Drosophila melanogaster: one gene and its partners. Changing the gene in region 4 together with the main gene of any one other region gives a genetic interaction. Each region holds a gene or a part of one and is shown on either strand. Other genes may lie near its edges. The genes, in order: Not1, IntS9, CstF50 and tut.

The links.
Region 1: of tut (region 4) and Not1, changing one enhances a phenotype caused by changing the other (phenotypic enhancement), as found in Drosophila melanogaster (one study listed by BioGRID).
Region 2: of tut (region 4) and IntS9, changing one enhances a phenotype caused by changing the other (phenotypic enhancement), as found in Drosophila melanogaster (one study listed by BioGRID).
Region 3: of tut (region 4) and CstF50, changing one enhances a phenotype caused by changing the other (phenotypic enhancement), as found in Drosophila melanogaster (one study listed by BioGRID).

What each region holds. Positions count from the first base shown.
Region 1 is NT_033778.4:9,573,642-9,578,510, forward strand, and holds the start of Not1 (Not1), read right to left. Parts: upstream 3,055-4,869; 5' UTR 2,864-3,054; coding exon 2,537-2,863; intron 2,478-2,536; coding exon 1,947-2,477; intron 1,892-1,946; coding exon 1,429-1,891; intron 1,367-1,428; coding exon 146-1,366; intron 60-145; coding exon 1-59.
Region 2 is NT_037436.4:16,102,604-16,107,484, forward strand, and holds IntS9 (integrator 9), read right to left. Parts: upstream 3,025-4,881; 5' UTR 2,961-3,024; coding exon 2,952-2,960; intron 2,891-2,951; coding exon 1,733-2,890; intron 1,676-1,732; coding exon 878-1,675; 3' UTR 831-877; downstream 1-830. Other genes in the region: IleRS-m (Isoleucyl-tRNA synthetase, mitochondrial), read left to right, coding at 1-127, 183-830; CG43295 (uncharacterized protein), read left to right, coding at 3,249-3,299, 3,373-3,825; Zn72D (Zinc-finger protein at 72D), read right to left, coding at 4,351-4,881. UniProt on the Drosophila melanogaster protein: Component of the integrator complex, a multiprotein complex that terminates RNA polymerase II (Pol II) transcription in the promoter-proximal region of genes.
Region 3 is NT_033777.3:31,734,853-31,739,134, reverse strand, and holds CstF50 (cleavage stimulation factor 50 kD subunit), read left to right. Parts: upstream 1-2,171; 5' UTR 2,172-2,254; coding exon 2,255-3,190; intron 3,191-3,244; coding exon 3,245-3,583; 3' UTR 3,584-3,632; downstream 3,633-4,282. Other genes in the region: CG11563 (uncharacterized protein), read right to left, coding at 1,236-1,476, 1,535-1,819, 1,896-1,993.
Region 4 is NT_037436.4:8,208,852-8,212,786, forward strand, and holds tut (tumorous testis), read right to left. Parts: upstream 1,893-3,935; 5' UTR 1,821-1,892; coding exon 1,707-1,820; intron 1,641-1,706; coding exon 1,462-1,640; intron 1,407-1,461; coding exon 1,007-1,406; 3' UTR 726-1,006; downstream 1-725. Other genes in the region: CG8006 (uncharacterized protein), read left to right, coding at 3,114-3,935. UniProt on the Drosophila melanogaster protein: RNA binding protein that forms a complex with bam and bgcn, involved in 3'UTR-dependent regulation of a subset of mRNAs. Preferentially binds a long isoform of mei-P26 transcripts.

The DNA of each region.
Region 1 (4,869 bases), on a different chromosome or scaffold from region 4:
CTGCATGAGGTTCAGCGGATAGGGATTGGCTCCCGGAGTCATCAGACGCGATGGAGAAGCTGAAATTGCACGTAGAATTTCGTTAGATAGGATTAAGAGGCATCTGTGATAGATTATGCACTCATTGCCTATGAATGCCACTTACTTAGCATGTTTCCAAAATTAAATGCTCCGTTCGGGCCGCTGAGGTTGAGGCCGGCTAAGTTGTTGGACATATTCGTTAGCGGATCCATTCCTGGTCCAAACATCTGCGCGTTGAGGTTTCCGGAGAACGGTTGCTGCGGTGGCGGAGGGACTATGCCTCCAGGCAGATCCATACCACGATGGCCGCGCAGAATTGTTGGTGGAGGCGGCGGAACCAATCCTGGCTGCTGCTGCTGTTGGGCACGCGCCTTGTTAGCCATAATCGCCACGTTCGCGGTCATTTGCATGATGACTTCGACCATCTCCGGCTGCATGCAGTTATTGATGCACGTTTGCAGACAGTTGATCATGGTGGTAACTGTCTCGGGCAAAAGCTGCGCCTGCTTGGGAGGCAGCTGATCCTCTGGCACTTTTGCGTTGATAACCTGCGGGCAGCGGCGGTGCAGAACCTTGATTATAGCCTGCATAAAAGGCTCTCCATGTTCGCGAATTTTATCGGTAAGCCACTTTTCCAGCTTCAGGTACTCGCGCCGAGAGGCAAGGCAAGCCAGGTCGATAATGAATAAAAATGAACGGGCGTTGAGCAGCGCTGATAGCGCTTTTAAATCCTGGGCAAGATCCAGGATGCGCGACAGTTTCACCTGATCGAACTCATTGCCTCGGAGATACCACTCGGACATAGCATTCATGATATTGGAACGAAGTTGGAAGTTGTTCGAGCTCCAGGCGCTGGCCAAGATCACGTTCGAGTTGGGATGGTTGCCAAGGAACGTTGGTATCAGTTGGTTAAACAGATCCTGACGCAGTGGCGTCATAGGCGGACTTGTGTTCAATAAGGCCAAAAATAGCACATCGGGACAGTTCTGCGCTGGGAACTTGAATAGCTCATGGACCTGCGTATAGTATCCCTTGTCCGCAATGGAGAGCAGCACCTCCACCAGGTGAAGCGACTTCCAGGACGAGATCTCCTTATTGTCCGCATCCGGAGCCGTCTTAAGCACATCCAACGCTGGCTGGCTAAATACAAAGTCGGCGAAGGAAAAGAGATCCGGGTTCTTCAGCATTGTCGCGATAAGCGACAGCTGACCTTCCGTGTTTGCCCAGTGACGGTAAATGCATTCTGGATGTGGAAATATGTTAGAGCCAGTGGCCAGCCGAAGGATGGTGAGCAAAAGCTCCAAACCGATGCGATCCTTCAGCACGAACTCGGGATGATCAAGTTCTAAAAATTAAGAATGATATTCCTATAGATTGGCGATTGCGAAGCAATTATCTAGCTATTACCCATGCACACGTCCTTCCAGTTGAGCTGAGGCACCACCTCCTTGAGCGCCTGCACAAAGACATCTGGCTTCCAAGTTTGCGTGGCCTCCGTCGTCTCCTTCTTGTCCTTCTTATCACTGGACGAATTGCCATCGCTGCCATCGTTGTTGTTACTGCTGCCCGGGTTCTGTTGCTGCGGAGTGATTTGTGTCTGCGAAGAGCCACTGCTGTTGCTGCCACCGCCCTGTCCCTGACCAGGCCAGAAGTTCGCCGGCGTCGGTAGATTCACATTACAATCGAGCAGGGAGGAGTGCCGTCGGCACATAAGACCCACGATCTTGGCGACATCTTTGGACTGGAGCTCAGCGCGTTCTCGCTCGCGGGAACACAAATGATTCTTACACTCTTCAACGCTCGATGTAAATTCATAACCGATTTCAAGGATTAGATTAATCCAAGATGTGTCCATAATATTATTTTTGCCCTGCAACACAACATTCAATTAGCGAATTGTCTTTTTCAATGAGTGTCTTACGCACCTGGTTGGTGAATATTATCTCGCTTAAATGGTCATAAATATCCTCGATTCCCACCTCGTTCAAAGCATCTGCTTCGAAACTGGAGCTGTTGCTATTAGTCGTCGCTTCGGCCTCCGCATCCGTTTCGCTGGCACCTGCTCCCGCAATCGTCGCCGTCGTCGAGCCGTAAAGGAACGGCGCTAGAACCAGCGGTACCGCCTGGCGCGGAAACTCCTCACGAAGCTTGATCAAAAACTGTGCTTCCACCTGCGGTTGTACGTACTCGCTAAGGCAGCACAACAAATACTGCAGTAGATCGAAGGAGATCTCCCGGAGACCGCTGTCGGCTGGGCCGGTGCCTTTATTACCCAAGTAAGAGTCTATAAGTTCGCTGAGGCTACCTTTTAGGTTGTTCCTGGCAGAATGTTTGAGTTCTGTGTACGAGGAGTGGGTCAAGGCCAAGGCAAAGACGCACTCACAAACCTTGTTGATGCCGGTCAGTCGGGCGACCTGGCCAACGAGATCCGCTACCGCAACAGGCTTCAGGGACTGCTTAGGAATGAGTATCCATAAGTAATCAACACATTGTGGGCATTGTAAACTCAACTTACCTTCTGGTTGCTGGCGAAGAACTGGTCAAAAGCGTAGCAGATGTTGGACACAAACGATGAACTGTGAAGCTGACGCTCCAACTGGATGCCCAGGAGCTTCGCCTGCAGCTGGACCGTAACTGATGGCACGAGATCGCTGAAGTTGATCACGGAGAACAGGTGGCGCAGGCTGCTGCGATCCGCTTCCAGGCCGTGCTCTTTAACGAACTGCAAGATGTCGTAAATGCTATCAGTAATGTATGGTTTAGAATCAAAGAGCTGCATTGCGTAGGGTTTGGAAGCCAATATAAGTGCCTTGACAGCGACTGCCCGCAATCTGGGACACATATCACTGTATAAGGGACAGTGTATGTTTCAAACGATTCCTCAGATTCTGCGGTGACCGGGATTTTTTTTTATGTGATTTTCATCGCAAACTTGGAAATTTTGACAGGTTCTATTATGTTCTGTGAGTGTCTCAACTTTTCTCTGTACAATTGGATATGTGTTTACGGATACAGGGCAAGATGTAAAGTAACATTTTGGAGGGATTATTTCTAACTCCAGGCAACTGTTTTCAAAAGTAAATCCATTAAGTCATTATTTCTTGCCCGCTTAAAAACTTTACCCAATTGGCTTTTTAAAAGCGCAACCAGAGGGTTAAAACATGAATTTTATCATTGGGAATTCCAGTTTAGGTGCACCATTGTTGGGCTCACAGGTTTCTGAGATTATCTTGAATGCTATAACTAAATGGAAGACTATATCTCAAATTGGGCTATCGTTAAGTTAGTTAATGTATTTTCTATCCGATAATTTCTCCATGGAATCCAACAAATTCCTAGACCTTTCTTACTATAAATTCCGTTGGGTTATCCTAGTACTTCATTCCAACATTGAATATCAGTGAAAATTTGGTAATCCTACTGAGTTCGAATAACTTGAAAACTTATCAGGCTTTTTAAATGGCAGATATAGATTGTTGAGAATTTCAAAATACTGAAGTATATGACTCTGTTTTGTTATCATTTTTTTTTATCATTTTTTTTAATTTTTGAGGAATATGCCATTTACTGTCAAGAAAACGGGATCTGTAGCATAGTTTGTCCCACAAACGATTACTTTTTAGGGGATTGTTGGGCAAATGGTGCCATTCTAAGCCAAGTATTTGTTATGATACTAATTTGAATGGCAAAACTTTTCTAGGAGGCTAGATATCCCCCTCCCTCCCTACGGATCCAAAACTGTTGAAATATTTGATCCGGAGCTCGGAGTCCGGAATCAAGGCCTCACTCCGAACGGGGGAGCGAGACAACAGCTTTGGCCCCGCCGTCGCAGCTGCTCCACAACAAATTACACACGCGCCCTCTCGCTCGCACACGTTGGCGAAACGTTACATGGGTAAGGAGAGAAGAGAGCATGACGGTGCGCGAAAGGAAGGGGGTCACAGGAAAAAGTGCGACATATTGCAACTCTAGCGAAAAGAAAGCGGCCGCAATTGATATTCCCACGCAATTTGTCCCACGAACTTACTATTCAATTTGGTTTCTCTCGTTTGGCAATGAAAAAACAGAAGTTTCGGGGCCGAAAAGCCCTGCGCTTGGCTTGGGCTTCCCAATTCGAATTTCGCAATTCGATTTCGCACTACTACGCTGCAAAATTCACACTGCCATCAACTCACGAAACACGTTTGTGGCTAAGCGCACACAATTGGCCTGGTTTTACACATTCTATAAAACTTTTAGCTTAAACAAAACGCTCACAAAACGCGCAACGCCGTGCAGAGAAATTTTTTCAGCTGCCTTTACCAAAAAACTGTAATGGCGTCGGCAAAAATGCACGAGCGAGTGAAATGGCAATAGCCCATTCGTGAGTGCGAACAATTGGCAACTCTGGTTGGCCAGGTGCGATATGTTGTCGGTTTGGCAACACTAAACCCCCGCCCCCTACAAAATGTTGTTGTTATTGTTGACAAAATGAATTGGAAATGGTTCATGGAAACTTTGGTAGAATAACTTGGGCACCTACCTGATTTATTTGCTCGCTGCTCTCATTAAAATTTCGCTTGTTCACGTGCTTGACCAGATTTCGAATGTGCGTTGGCGGTGTCTTCAGTTGGCTCTCTACGTTCATAATTCTACGTATCAGTTGTCAATTCCTCAGCGGATGTTTCTTGTTGCTGTTGTTTTTGTTGGAGGCCACCAGAATTTTTTGTTCAGCACACACGTTTAGCGTGCACTGGTATTGGAGATTAGAGATATTTGACGTATTCGCTGTTGCTTCTTGGCGCTTTTCATTTCACCTACGGCGCAATTTGTTTTTGTCTCTGCCTTCCTTGGTTTTTTTTTGTTCTT
Region 2 (4,881 bases), 7.9 Mb from region 4:
CGGAACTATGCGATATTTAAAAGGCGTAATTGGAGAGAAACAATCGGGGGAGAAGCTTATACGAACTTCGGATAAGAGCTATCTTAATCGTTATTTGTTAAGCCAGCTGGTTGAATTTGAATCTGAGGTAGGAAATTTTGTTAATCTTAGTTTTTCAACTAATCATGTCAATCGCTTTTAAGGTGGAGAAGCTATACCAAGCTTATGAGTACAATCGTGTTGTCGCCTGTGTCCAAAACTTCATTGCAAATCAGGTGTCCGCCGTCTATGTGCATCTCATCAAGGATCGTCTTTATTGTGGTGATGATCACGAGCTACTGGCCATTCGTCAAACTCTTACCCACTGCTATCAACAACTCTGCAAGAGCTTATGGCCCATTGTTCCCTTCCTGGTGGAGGAAAGCTGGAGCTACTATGACACCACAGGTGGTGCATTCCACGAGCAAATTGTTCAGACTAATCCTGAATGGCAGGACACCAAAGCCACTGAAGTGATTAATGCAGCGTTCGATGTTAAACGACTTATTAACCAACAGGCTGGAGATGTTAACACCTGGCACTTGGCCGTGACCATCAAAGGAAAGGAAAGAAGCCAGCTGGATTTGCTGCGAGAACTTCACAGCCCTCTTGGAGAGTCTGTGAGCAATTCTGAATTATGCGAGATATTGCAAGTGGGGTCAGTTACGCTCTTACAGTCCCATAATAGCGACTTGGATATTGCTTTAAGTAAACTTCAGATATCACTGTGCCCACGTTGTCGTCGCTATGGTCTGGAGGATGAGCAGAAAACGTGTCAACGTTGCTCTGACGTTATGGAGGCAAAGAACTAAGCGTAATGATGTGTTGTTATTTAGGTGTAAGGAATACATTTATGTTTTTAAAAACTCTGTAAGCATTTCATGATGGTGTCTCGCAGCTTGAGCCGGGTTGTTGGCTTTCCGCCGCAGATAATATGCGTCTCGTTGTCCTCGAACTTAATGACTGTGTCCTCATTGACAAGGTTCAGAGTCAGAGCGCCGCCAGTGCGGTCTAGCTTGATGTTGGAGAAGCCATCCTGTGCCAGCTTCTTCATCACTGCATCTACATCAATGCTGCCATACTCGTATTTGACGTTCTTCAGCACATCCTCCTTTGTCGGAGCGCTGTTGCTCGAGATGGTCTCGTCTTTAACGCTATCCGCACATGGCTGGATGCAGTGGACCTTGTCCTTAACTTGCAAAACTCCTGTCAATGTGGAGAAGGTCACGCCGGCCGCCACCTCCTTTGGCGATATCTTTTGGGCCAGTTCCGAGGTAATGTAAATTCGATCCAGCTTCCGTTTTAATGGCAGACGTATGATCTCGCCGCACTTGAACGTTATTATCTTCTTATCCGGCTGTTCAATGAACAAATTTGGGGCCGAGGGATGTGGTTTTGTGTATGCCTCTGGGATGACAAGCACATTTGGTTTCAACTCCTTGATCAGCTTATTTGCCTGCTGATAATTCAAAGAGGTGTCGATGGGACAGTAAAAAGCCTTCATGGCCAGTGGTTGGAAGGGCGCCAGTACTTGCAGATACGGAAAGTCCGGCTCCGTGAATATGATGGAGTTGTTAGGGTTATTGCCCCACATCTCGATAAAGTGAACAGCGTCGCCGAAACGCAAGCTAGGATGGCCACAAAAGACCACGCAGGGCTGTAAGGAAGACAGAGAATTTGTAGTATGAAGTTTTCACAATTATGTTAGACAAACCTGCCGGAAGTCCTTGCTAAAGCCCTCGGAGAACACATGGTTATAGTGCTTCAGCTTGTTGTTGCGAAGGTAAAAGGCATGTGGGAAAGGATCGTCTGGAAGATACACTTTGTTCTGCTTGGCGGAACTAAGCCACTCGGCCAGGATATTAGAATACGCCAAGGAGCTGTCTGCCACAGGGGAAATAAAGAACATGGGAACATTGTTTAGGCCAGCGTTTTCCAAATTCTGGGTGAGGCACTCAAAGAGGTCATAGACAACGCCCGAAGGATAACAGGGAATCAAGGCAGACCCATTGTTGCGGATCGTCAAGGCCACATTCATGCAGAGCTCGCCCAGCTTCGTGTCCGGATTTACCGTCGGCGCCTGCGTCAGTCCGGTCATAATGAGTACATCGGCGTGCTTCAGCGCCGACTGATTGATGGGCCGCGGATGTGTGGTCAACGTGGAGGAACCACTGACATAGCAAATCTTTTCATGCGCCGTGCTCAGTACCCAGTTGCTCGAGCCCAGGCAGTAGCCCGAGCTGACAGGAGTGGCGATAAAAGCTCCGAGGATGTCCAGCTTCTCGTCGTAGCCCATGATGGTCACCTTGGACAGACTGCCTTGGACATCCTTAAGACTAAAGATAGTGCGCCACTTCTTGGCGCGAAAGGCTTCGCTCAAGGGACTGGGCAGCAGATGAAGCTTCTCCTTCCACAAGCGCGCGGTGCACGCCTTGGGCGACACTTCGATATAGTCCACCAGCTCCTCCAGGAAAAATCGGCCGATCTGCAGCGTTGGCTCCGTGGCATAGACTTTGCCCTTGAACCCCGTGTTTTCCGTGATATACGGCAAGGCCAGCATATTAAGATAATTCGAGATAAGTATCACATCCACTTCGCTGAAATCCAGCATTTTGTCCATGGGTAGATTAAACTCGGGCGTCGAGTCCACGAAAACCCGGCCACAGCAGTCCTTCAACTCGCCATCCATTTGGGGATCATGATCCCGACTGGGCACGAAGTTGGGCAGATTGGACCACTTCAGTGACTGAACGAAGGGCAGCGGAAGGAAATTCAGGACTGTCTGCTCCGTGAGACCGCAGTCCAGCATAATCCGCAGGCCCTTGAAGGTAATGATATAACATGGCTTGGCCAGGTCCCCGCTGAGACAATACTGCAAAGTGGATAGTCACTTCCGCTAATTAAGTTGTTATTTACTTCTCAGGATGACTTACCAATCGCATTTTATTAAACCGACAGTGCCGATTAGACGATGCAAGTTTGTTTATATTTGGACCAGGGATGGGGAACGATTTGGTTCACTTATGAACCGGAATCAGCACCCGGCTAAATCATTAACCATAGGTACCAAAATTAGTTAATTACAAATTTTGGTAAATGTTTTACTACTTGTTAAACTGTAGTCATCACGCTTTAACATTTGTGCAACCACATTTTTTTCACTCCACTTGTTGCAGTGCTGTTGGTTTCCATCCCTGGTCTCTTTATTTGGTTTTTCGCAAATTTGAATAATGTCCCAGCAAATTCGCGTGGTACAATGCATTCAATGCAAAATGTACCAGGTGAGTGCAAACAAACTGAAATATATCTTAGAACTCAATAACTACTTATATATATATACCTAATTTAAACAAGGTGGACTTCGTGAAAAAGGCAAGCACATGGCAGTGTAAAATTTGCCGCCAAAAGCAAAGTTTGCTCAAGGAATTCTTTCGAGGATCGGCAGCGGAATGCCGGGTTAAGGTGCAGCATCTCAACTTAGAGCGCGGAATGCAGGAGGAATGTCTGAACACGGGCTTATTCCTCACGGCAAAGCAACAGCTCGAAGAGGAGAAAGACTGCCAAGAAAAAGAGGAAAACACCACACCTCAGAAGAAAACAAATAAATGGGCAAACTATGTGGATAATACCATTGAAACTACTCAAAAGCCTGCAGCAAAACCTACGAAAACCGATGAACTTTCCGACGAAATCTCTATGAACTTTAAGAAAACCAGGAACACAGGGCCACGATCCTCTAAACGTTCCGCTGAAAATATGCCAACAGTTACTAAGAAAATTTGCTCTAAGTGGAACGACTTCTTGTAATTCCTTAAAAATTATATATCATATATATAAATATATATTTGAATTAATTTCAATTAGAACTTATTTATAAAGCGAAGAATATTATCAGTGCTAGATTATCTCCAATTAAGATTTCCAGTTACGTGAATGAATTAAGCTTATCTTTATTAAAAAAATAATTTAATTATAATTGTTCAATACGTTTTATTAAAATCCGCTTCGTTCTAGTATTTGTGTATATGAGTGTGAGGGCCATAATGTTCACATTCAAACTGAATACATTGCCTTGCCTTGCACTAATGCTAGAAAAATACAAGTTTTATGATCCACTAAATATTGTTAGTTAAAGTTGGGGTAATTTGGGATTCACTAATCGCCGATTGGGCAACATGTTGGACATGCTTAGCTCCTTGTGCCCCAATCGGTTTGAATACTCGTGTATAGATTAGAGTTGGTTATAGTTAAGTGACGCCTGGTCGCGCTTTTATCTTGAGAGAAATTGTAATATTAGTAGCCGACTACGTGTATATAACCTATTCTCGCCGCTTAGGTGCTGGCAGGAGTGCCTCCGACACCCTCCTTCTTGGCCACCTTCTCATCGGAGCCGGTCTCATCGATGTCATTGGACTCGGTCTCCGTGCCGGGTGCACCACCTGCCTTGCCCGATGACCTACGTCGCTTGCGGTTGACACGCCATGGACGCATTGGAAACTTCATCGCCGGCAATGGCTCCATGCCAAGCACTTTGTAAATCTGTCGAAAGGCAATGTAGCGCAGGAAGAGCTGTGCGGACACAGTGAGATCCTCGCGCTCCTGTTTGGTCAACTCGAGTAGAGCGTCTGTGGGGTCCTTCTCGCAAGGATCCAGCAGGCCCGGTCCGTTGATTAGAAAGCCTGACGATAAGGCCTCCATGATGCGACGCATGCAGTCACCGGGCGAAATGGGAAAGCCAGCCGACGAGATGACCTTCTCTACGAGGAGCTCCAAAGACCATTGGGGCAGCGATTGCCAGGAAGAGACGCGCTGGCACAGATCCCTGAGGATGCGTATGACCATGACGCACGACTGGAGGCCTGT
Region 3 (4,282 bases), on a different chromosome or scaffold from region 4:
CGATTTTCCTGCATGTTATTTTTAAATCTTTGTATTTGCATCGAAGTGCAAATTGGAAGAAGCAATGGGAATGAAGGGGGAAAGAATATGCAAAAATACTTCGTCAGAGATGCAGGGCAGGAAAATAATCTGCTAACCATGTGTCATCATGCCGCGGATATTTTTTTTTTGCCTGCGAATTCCAATAGAAACTACTCGGGAATAAACGGCTTGAGAACGGGAAGGAGAAACGGGTACAATCCAGGCAAAATCGAACGCGCACACACATGCAGCCGGTCGCCATGTTGGAATTCGAAAGTCTATGCAACTTTATTAATTTACTTGCAATTTAAGGTCGCTGGAAAACCAATTTCCAATTCGAATCGATTTACACAGCTATTATGCAAAAGGAATGAGAAGACCGGCCGGCAGCGCAAATCACTTACACTCTCTCACTTTTCGGAACTTTCTTTACTTTAGAACTTTCTTTAGGTTGGAAAATCGAACCGAAATTCGCCTAATAATGCAGGGTAGGGAATTCTGGGACTTTCCCTTTTTACATTTCCACAACTAATCAATGCCTATTAATATTTTCACAATTTAACGGGAGCTCTGCGTGCACTTACCTCGAAATCACAAAACGGAAAGACCGAAAAAGCAACGATGCTGAGGTGAACGGAGCTGAACTGATTCCGACCTAGAGATGGCACAGGATTCCATGTATGACAAGGGCCTTGGGTTTCCTATTGCATTATGCGGATTTCTTGACTTAAATAAAGTTTCCATCCCTTAAGTATAAAACGTACCAAAATAAAAATAGTAATACAATTTTACTACCATTCATGGAATATTTTATATTCTCTTAAACTGAGTCTTTTGCAGATAAAATAATATAGTACTTTCACGGACTGTCACTAAAAGTATGCACATTCACCACTAATTGCAAAAGACATTGTGCACACTATTCGCTTATGCGTTGAAATAAGACGCAAGCTCCTTCCTTTCTCTCTCTCTCGTCCTGTCGTACGACAGAACAATAGAAAATTTGACAGAACAAAAATGTTAGAAAGGAATTTGAAAAAATACTGTTAATAGTAATGTAATGTAATTAACAGTAATGCTTTAATACGTAGACCTTTTGCGTTCGTCTTTACTTGCCTATTTTATTGTATTAAAAGAATTAAAGTAAGTCTAAACATTACAATTAATAGCATTAGAACCCGAAAACGACTATAATGTACATTGGTCAAGAGCCATTATTTCCATTCACTGTCCGACTCGTATTCCTCCCAGTCCGGTTTCACGCCCACGGGCAACTTCTTCTGCTCCAGGTAAACGTTAAACTGCTCCGGAATCGACATAAATCTGCGAATCTTCAAGCGGAACTGCCGCCACGTCCACTGGCCAAAGTTTTTCCGATCGGCAACCATCGCCTTGTAGTTAAACTTATGTTTGTTAAGAAAGTAGGACAGTTCCTTGACCACGCCCTTGGGTAATCTGTGCAAATACAAAACCTGTATTTTGACAGTTTTCCATTGCAGAATCAATATTTTACCTGAACTCTGGGTCGGCTCGCTCGCTAGCCAGTTGTTCTAGTTCCTGGACTACGTGTCCACGTTTTGGACCCTCCTCTACGACTGGTTTCTTGAGGCCCAATACACGCCGCTCATCCTCGTCCAGCTCCTCCTCCAGAAACCCATTCACAACTCGGGCCGCTAGGAGGCGGTCCTTCTTGTAGCTGGGAATCGCAATGGCCTTGTTGACGTCCTTGGCCAACCCCATTTCACTGAAGTTGGTGCCCACACGCTGGTCCTCCATCCACATCTTTTTCATCCTGGGACTGGTAAGATCATAACAGAAGGTTTTCGTAAACTTGTTGACTCTATTGGCTGTAAGTGCACCAAGATCCAACTTACTCCTTAATTTTTCCGGTGGAACTCCGGGTTTTATTCATCGTCTTGCGGTTTACATTGTAGCGATAACGCTTGCGAGCATGATTCTTGCGGATCTTCATTGTTGAGAGGTTTAATTAATGAATCAAACAATGTTTAAAATCAATTGAGGGGACCAAAACAATTTTAAAACCGCACGTGTTGCAGCTGTTAGGAGTGACCGTGGACCGTAAAATACCGAAACCCTGATTTCAGTATTTCAATACCGCATAGCTAGAGATGACATACCGGCAAGATAAATGTTTTCGATAACGATAACGGCACGGCGTTATCTACAAGATTTTGTTTATATCCGTAGGAAACAAAATATAAATTAAGCCACCATGCGTGATGAGATTTTGGACCCCAGTAACCTAGTGAAGAACCGGGAGATACTCTACCGACTGATGATCAGCCAGCTGATGTACGACGGCCTGGAGAAGTTCGCCATGGAGCTGTCCATGCTGGTGAAGGCGGACCAGTGCGCTCCCAGTGAACGCCTGCTGCACGTAATGATTGCAGGGATGCAGACGCTGAGCGACAAGGACAAAACCAACTCGGATGATGTGCTGCCCGGCATAGACTTGGAATTCGAGCCGGAGGCTTCGGCCTTGGCCCCGGAACCACATTCCTACGAAACCGCGTATGTGACCTCGCACAAGCAGGCCTGTCGCGCCGGCGCCTTCAGTTGCGATGGTTCCCTGGTGGCCACCGGGAGCGTGGATGCCAGCATCAAGATTCTGGACGTGGAGCGGATGCTGGCGAAGTCTGCGCCCGAAGATATCGAGCCGGGCAGGGAACAACAAGGCCATCCAGTGATTCGCACGCTCTATGATCACACTGATGAAGTGTCTTACCTGGAGTTCCATCCCAAGGAGCACATCCTGGCCTCCGCCTCGCGCGATGGCACTGTTAAGTTGTTTGACATTGCCAAGCCTTCGGTAAAGAAGGCCCACAAGGTGTTCACCGACTGCGAGCCGGTGCTGTGCCTGTCTTTTCATCCTACTGGTGACTACGTAGCCATCGGAACGGAACATAACGTCTTGCGGGTCTACGATGTGGCCACCACCCAATGCTTCGTGAGTGCCATTCCCTCGCAGCAGCACAAGGCTGGAGTTACTTGCGTGAAATATTCGCCCACGGGGAAACTCTACGCCACAGGCAGCTATGATGGTGACATCAAAATATGGGATGGGATCAGCGGGCGGTGCATCAACACCATTGCCGAGGCGCATGGCGGAGCGGCAATATGCTCACTGGAGTTTACGCGGAATGGAAAGGTAATGGGACACTATGGGTAGTGGCTGTGCAAGATTTTAACTTATTCATTTTAGTACCTCCTATCTTCCGGTATGGATTCACTGGTTTATCTGTGGGAGCTGTGTACCAGTCGTCCCATTCAGACGTACACGGGCGCTGGAACCACCGGCAAGCAGGAGCACCAGACAGAGGCTGTATTCAACCACACAGAGGATTACGTGCTTTTCCCCGACGAGGCCACCACTTCGCTTTGCTCGTGGAACTCCCGTAACGGCTGCCGCCTGACCCTTAACTCGCTTGGACACAACGGACCTGTCCGCTATATTACGCATTCGCCCAATGGTCCTGCTTTCCTCACCTGCTCCGACGACTTTCGGGCACGTTTCTGGTACCGAAGAGCAAATAATCAGTAAACGGATGAAGCTACACCAATCGAATAAAACTTTAAGGAATAAAATATGTACACGTTCATTATTCAATTATTGTGATTGGCTGTGGGGGTTTTTAAGTGTATCGATTTGTGATTTTATCAGAATTAATGAAATATGTTTCAAACGCTTTTAAAAATAATTAATCAGTAAAATTTTCTTTATTAAAAACTCGTTTGTGGTTTTTCCATGAATAGTTATCCTAAAATCGCAACTATAATTTCTAGTCATTGAGCGCACAAGTCTTAAGTCGTATTTGTTGCGTTAAGTAAACTGTAAAAATCATAATACATAATACCAGATTGGGATTCCGTATAAATATCAGTTGTCTCTTCACTGGAAGTCCGTTTTGTTGTACGCTGGAACATTGATCCAATGCCTTATGACTACACCTAGATCCTAGTTAAGTGGCCTTAGTAGTTAATTAAGTTTACAACATTTCGTGGGGCCGCAGAACAGCGTTGTCGCGTTCCTCCGAAGCCACCAACACGTTTTGAAGATTGCACAATTAGCCAATACATTTGATTCCAACTTGTTGCCAAGGAAATGAACAAAATTATACTACGGACTTTGAGTATTAAACAAAATATAGCTATGTACAACAAAAAATAAAAAACAAAGGTCTATATAAAAAGGTTTAACAAAATCACAAAGAGAAATGAAAAGTTCTAAAGTTGCTTGCCT
Region 4 (3,935 bases):
ACCGTGCAGAGCTGAGCAGGACAACAACATCCGTTTCCGCCTGCCACGACATCCCGTCAAGTGCGGCAATCGCATTAGAATGCGCAGCGGACCTGTCCCTCGCACCTCGCGTCCTGTGCATCCTTCGCCTGACGGATGTCTTGCGCTCCCTCCACTCCCGTCCGTCGATCATTGCACTTTGGAGACCCGTAATCTGGAGTCAGACCCGGTACCCAGACACCGTGTCCAACACAATGCCAGCCGGAGGCTAGCGTCGACTCCTGCTCGCTGCACTCATTTAATTGCATTATGCCGCAGGTTGTCGCATTGCCCTGAAAGTCCTGGCTGCCACTCCGCCACTCCAAAGACACTGCATTAATTTGCATGTGAAAAACTGCAGCTTCGCTGCGCTGTCGGTGTTGTTTTTTTTATTTTTTTTTATTTTTATGGCTGCTCGCTGTTTTTGCCCAGAGTTAATGAAGTCAACAAGCTGCGGCTGCATTTCATCAGAGTGAGAAGCGGCGGGCCAAAAGGATTTGCCAGGAACAATGCTGTGTATAATTTCCCCCTGTCCTAACAACTGGTGAAAGTTTATGTTACATTCGCATGGGCAGCAACATAATTTACTGCCCAGAGAGCCACAGGAATTCCAAAATCCGCTTGGTTAGTTTTTTTTTAAGGTATAGTATGCATTCTAAAAGTGATTTGATATTTGGCTTTAAAATTTCATTAAAAAATCAGAGATTAACTTTGCAAAACACATATTCTTGTTTTCAAATTCCACGTATTACAAAAACTTACACAAATCAAGCAATAAACATCTTCATTCATATCTAAATGGTTGACTTATTTAAGAGTACTCTTATTTTACTTATAAACTTATTTAACAATAGAAAAAATATAACTAAAGTATTAAAGTATTTTATACATTTTCGTCCTACTTACGTGTAGTACAAACAAAACATTTGGAGCCTTATGGATTTGGTAGCATGAACCAATAAAGTAACATACTTGATACCACTTCCATTTAAAACTTGAAACAGCCCTTTTGTCTGGGAGGAACGCGTCGAGTACGATTTTGGCTTACTTCCCGTTGAAAACAGAAGCTACCGCTGGCTCTGCTCAAGATGTTCTCCGCAGTCAACCAGGAGATGTGCGCATGCTCACCGAATTTTCTGATCGAATTCCTTACTCTCTGATGGGCACTTGCGGCCGAGTCGTTGTTGCGGTACTCAAATATATAGAAGAACTGGTCTAATTGATACTCGTAGACTCGAACGATGGTAAAGGGATGTATCTTCAACATCTCCTGGTACACTTGCCATGGTCTAAGCGACGATTCTACGTTTTTGAGCACCAGCTCGCGATTGTTGGTCGATGGCTCCACCCTTAAGCACATGCAAAGCTGTCGGAATCGCATTGGCAGACTGGGATTATTAGGGTTAGTGCTGTTTTATGTGAAAATTATTACGAAGTACGTACTATTGCATTGCCGATTCCTTGAGGTCCACATTGATATATTGCAAGTAGGCGTAGCCGCGAGAATTTCCCGAAAAATCAATCTTATAGCGCATAATGTAAACTTCACCCAGTTCGCTGGCCACTTCCACAATCCACCGCGGAGAACAACTGTGATTCCTCGGTATACACGAGAGAAACAGCTAGAAGCAAAAACGTATTAGTGTCTCCGTAAACTTTTGAGACTAGATGCTTCACTAGACACTCACCTCGCCCTTTCCCTCATCCAGTAAGGATTTTAGATTTTCATCAAGGACTTTGCGCGTAGTTATGGTAATAGTGCCATTTACTTGACTGGTGCAGTATTTGCTCTCGAAATCCATTTTAAAAATAGCAAAAAAAAAAAAATACACAGCATACACGCGTGCATCAAAAAAAAAAAAAAAAGCTAAGATGCCAATGATTTAGTGTGACCAAATAAGCTTTAAAACATACAACGCTCGCGACGTTGCCAGATAGTCAATGAAGTTGGTAAAATTCTTTATACTTAACACTTAGGTAAAGTAACGGAGGGGCATAAACTTATTATTGTTTATGAACTTGTTTGAATGTTTAACATTTGTGTAAAATAGAGAGTGTTTTCATATTATATTTTTGCGTAAGAGGTCTTTTTTTGGCATTGCTGCGAACTCAGCTCTATACGAAGGTATTCTATTTTTGCTATGTACTTTATGCATTTACTTTACTCTTTTTCCAAACCGCTTTTTGCATGTCAGGCAATTTCTTTGCTCTTTATTTTTGCTTTCTTTTGACAGGCTGCGCGTGCTTTTTTCTAGCTCATGTTTAACAATATAAATTTATGCAGGCAGTCGGTCGTTTGCAACTTTTGCTCACAGTTCGCCACAAGCCGCAGCACCTATGTATGTATGTATGTAGGTTCGCATCGCATTCGCTGTTGTTGTTGCTGCGGTTAAGCCGCCCATCCGCCACCCACTCCACCACCCACTCACCCCACCAGGGGGCATCTTGATGGAGGTTGCGGTGCACTCAAGTGCCTGCTGCCGCTGCTGCTGCTTCATTTTCCTAATTTATACGCGCGCTGCGCTAATGAAAATTTACGTGGCAACCGCATACTGTTTTGTTGCTACTGCTGTTACACTAATAATTCATTGTTTCGAAATGGCCATAAGCAAATTACTGACATTAAACTATTTGTGGGAGGTAACATGTTGTTAGATTAATACACAACAGTTTTCTTAAATGAAGTGGTAAATGCAAAAGCTATCACTGTGAAGTCCAGTTTAGTCCACGTAGTGTAGAGACGCACCAGGTAAGAGTGTTTCGACAAGAAAATCCATTAAGTTCTTTGAAAAGTAAGCTCTGATATTCTTTGTTTAAAGTGTAGTGTCGCTGCTCCTTGTGCTTGTTGCCAGACGTGGGCCCACCACTTGAAGCATCTCTGAGAAACCCTGAGCTCCACTTTTGACCCCCCTCCCCTTTCTGCGGTTGAGAGACGTTTGGTGACAGTCGCCGAGTAAGGCCACTAGTCCCACTTATATTTCCGCATTTCCTTACCCGATTTGAGTAAGCGGTTTCATTTTATTCAAATCATTAAAATTACAAATATTTTTTGGGAACAAAATCAGTTGATTCCGGTTGAATATGCGAATGTGGCCATGAAGGATCTAAGCGAGGAGTTACTGGATCGCCATTTCAGGCAGCAGCTAGCCAGTTACAAGTATGCCGATCAGGCAAGGGCTAAGCAGTCGGATCGCCCCATCATGGCCAGATGGATAAAGATATTCGAGAAGGCTCCTCTCAGCGAGAAGTTGGCCCGAAATAGCCTGATGCTGCTCATGCATGGCCACTTGAAGGACTTTGGAGTGCTCAAGGAACCGTTCACGGATGTGCGTAACTACAGTAGGAATCTGAACGTAATTTTGGATGAGTACAGAGGCCAGCCATGTAAGAAGTTAGCTACTGGCAAATCACCTACACTGCTCAAGAAGTGCTCGACTCAAATTTTACGACCCAGGAAACTGGAACCCATCAAGGAGGTTTCCGAACAATCGGAAAATGATCCTACGACCAGTAGTTTTGCCAGCATTGTGACAATAATACGAAAAACAAATACGCGATCCTCTGACTCGAAGGATAGCCAAGTTTATCCAAGGACTGGCTTCGAGTCCCCAAATGGTGCTGATAGTCACACTGTGAAGAAGAGAGTCGAACTATTGGAGTATGAGCTCTCGAGAAATAAGCAGCATCCATCGAGCTCCACATTCAATCGGGATGCACCTGACAGCGGAAGAACCCATTCCTCCAGTTCCTTATCCCAAGAGAAACTCATCAAGATCACCAATGTCATAGATCAGGTCAACCGCCGATCAAGTGCTGTGAAAAATCTGAGGGATTGCTTTGAGGAAATGGCCGAACGTTTGAAAAACACAATCGAATCAAAATATAAATCGAAGATTCCGCCGCCAAAGCCGCCAAAG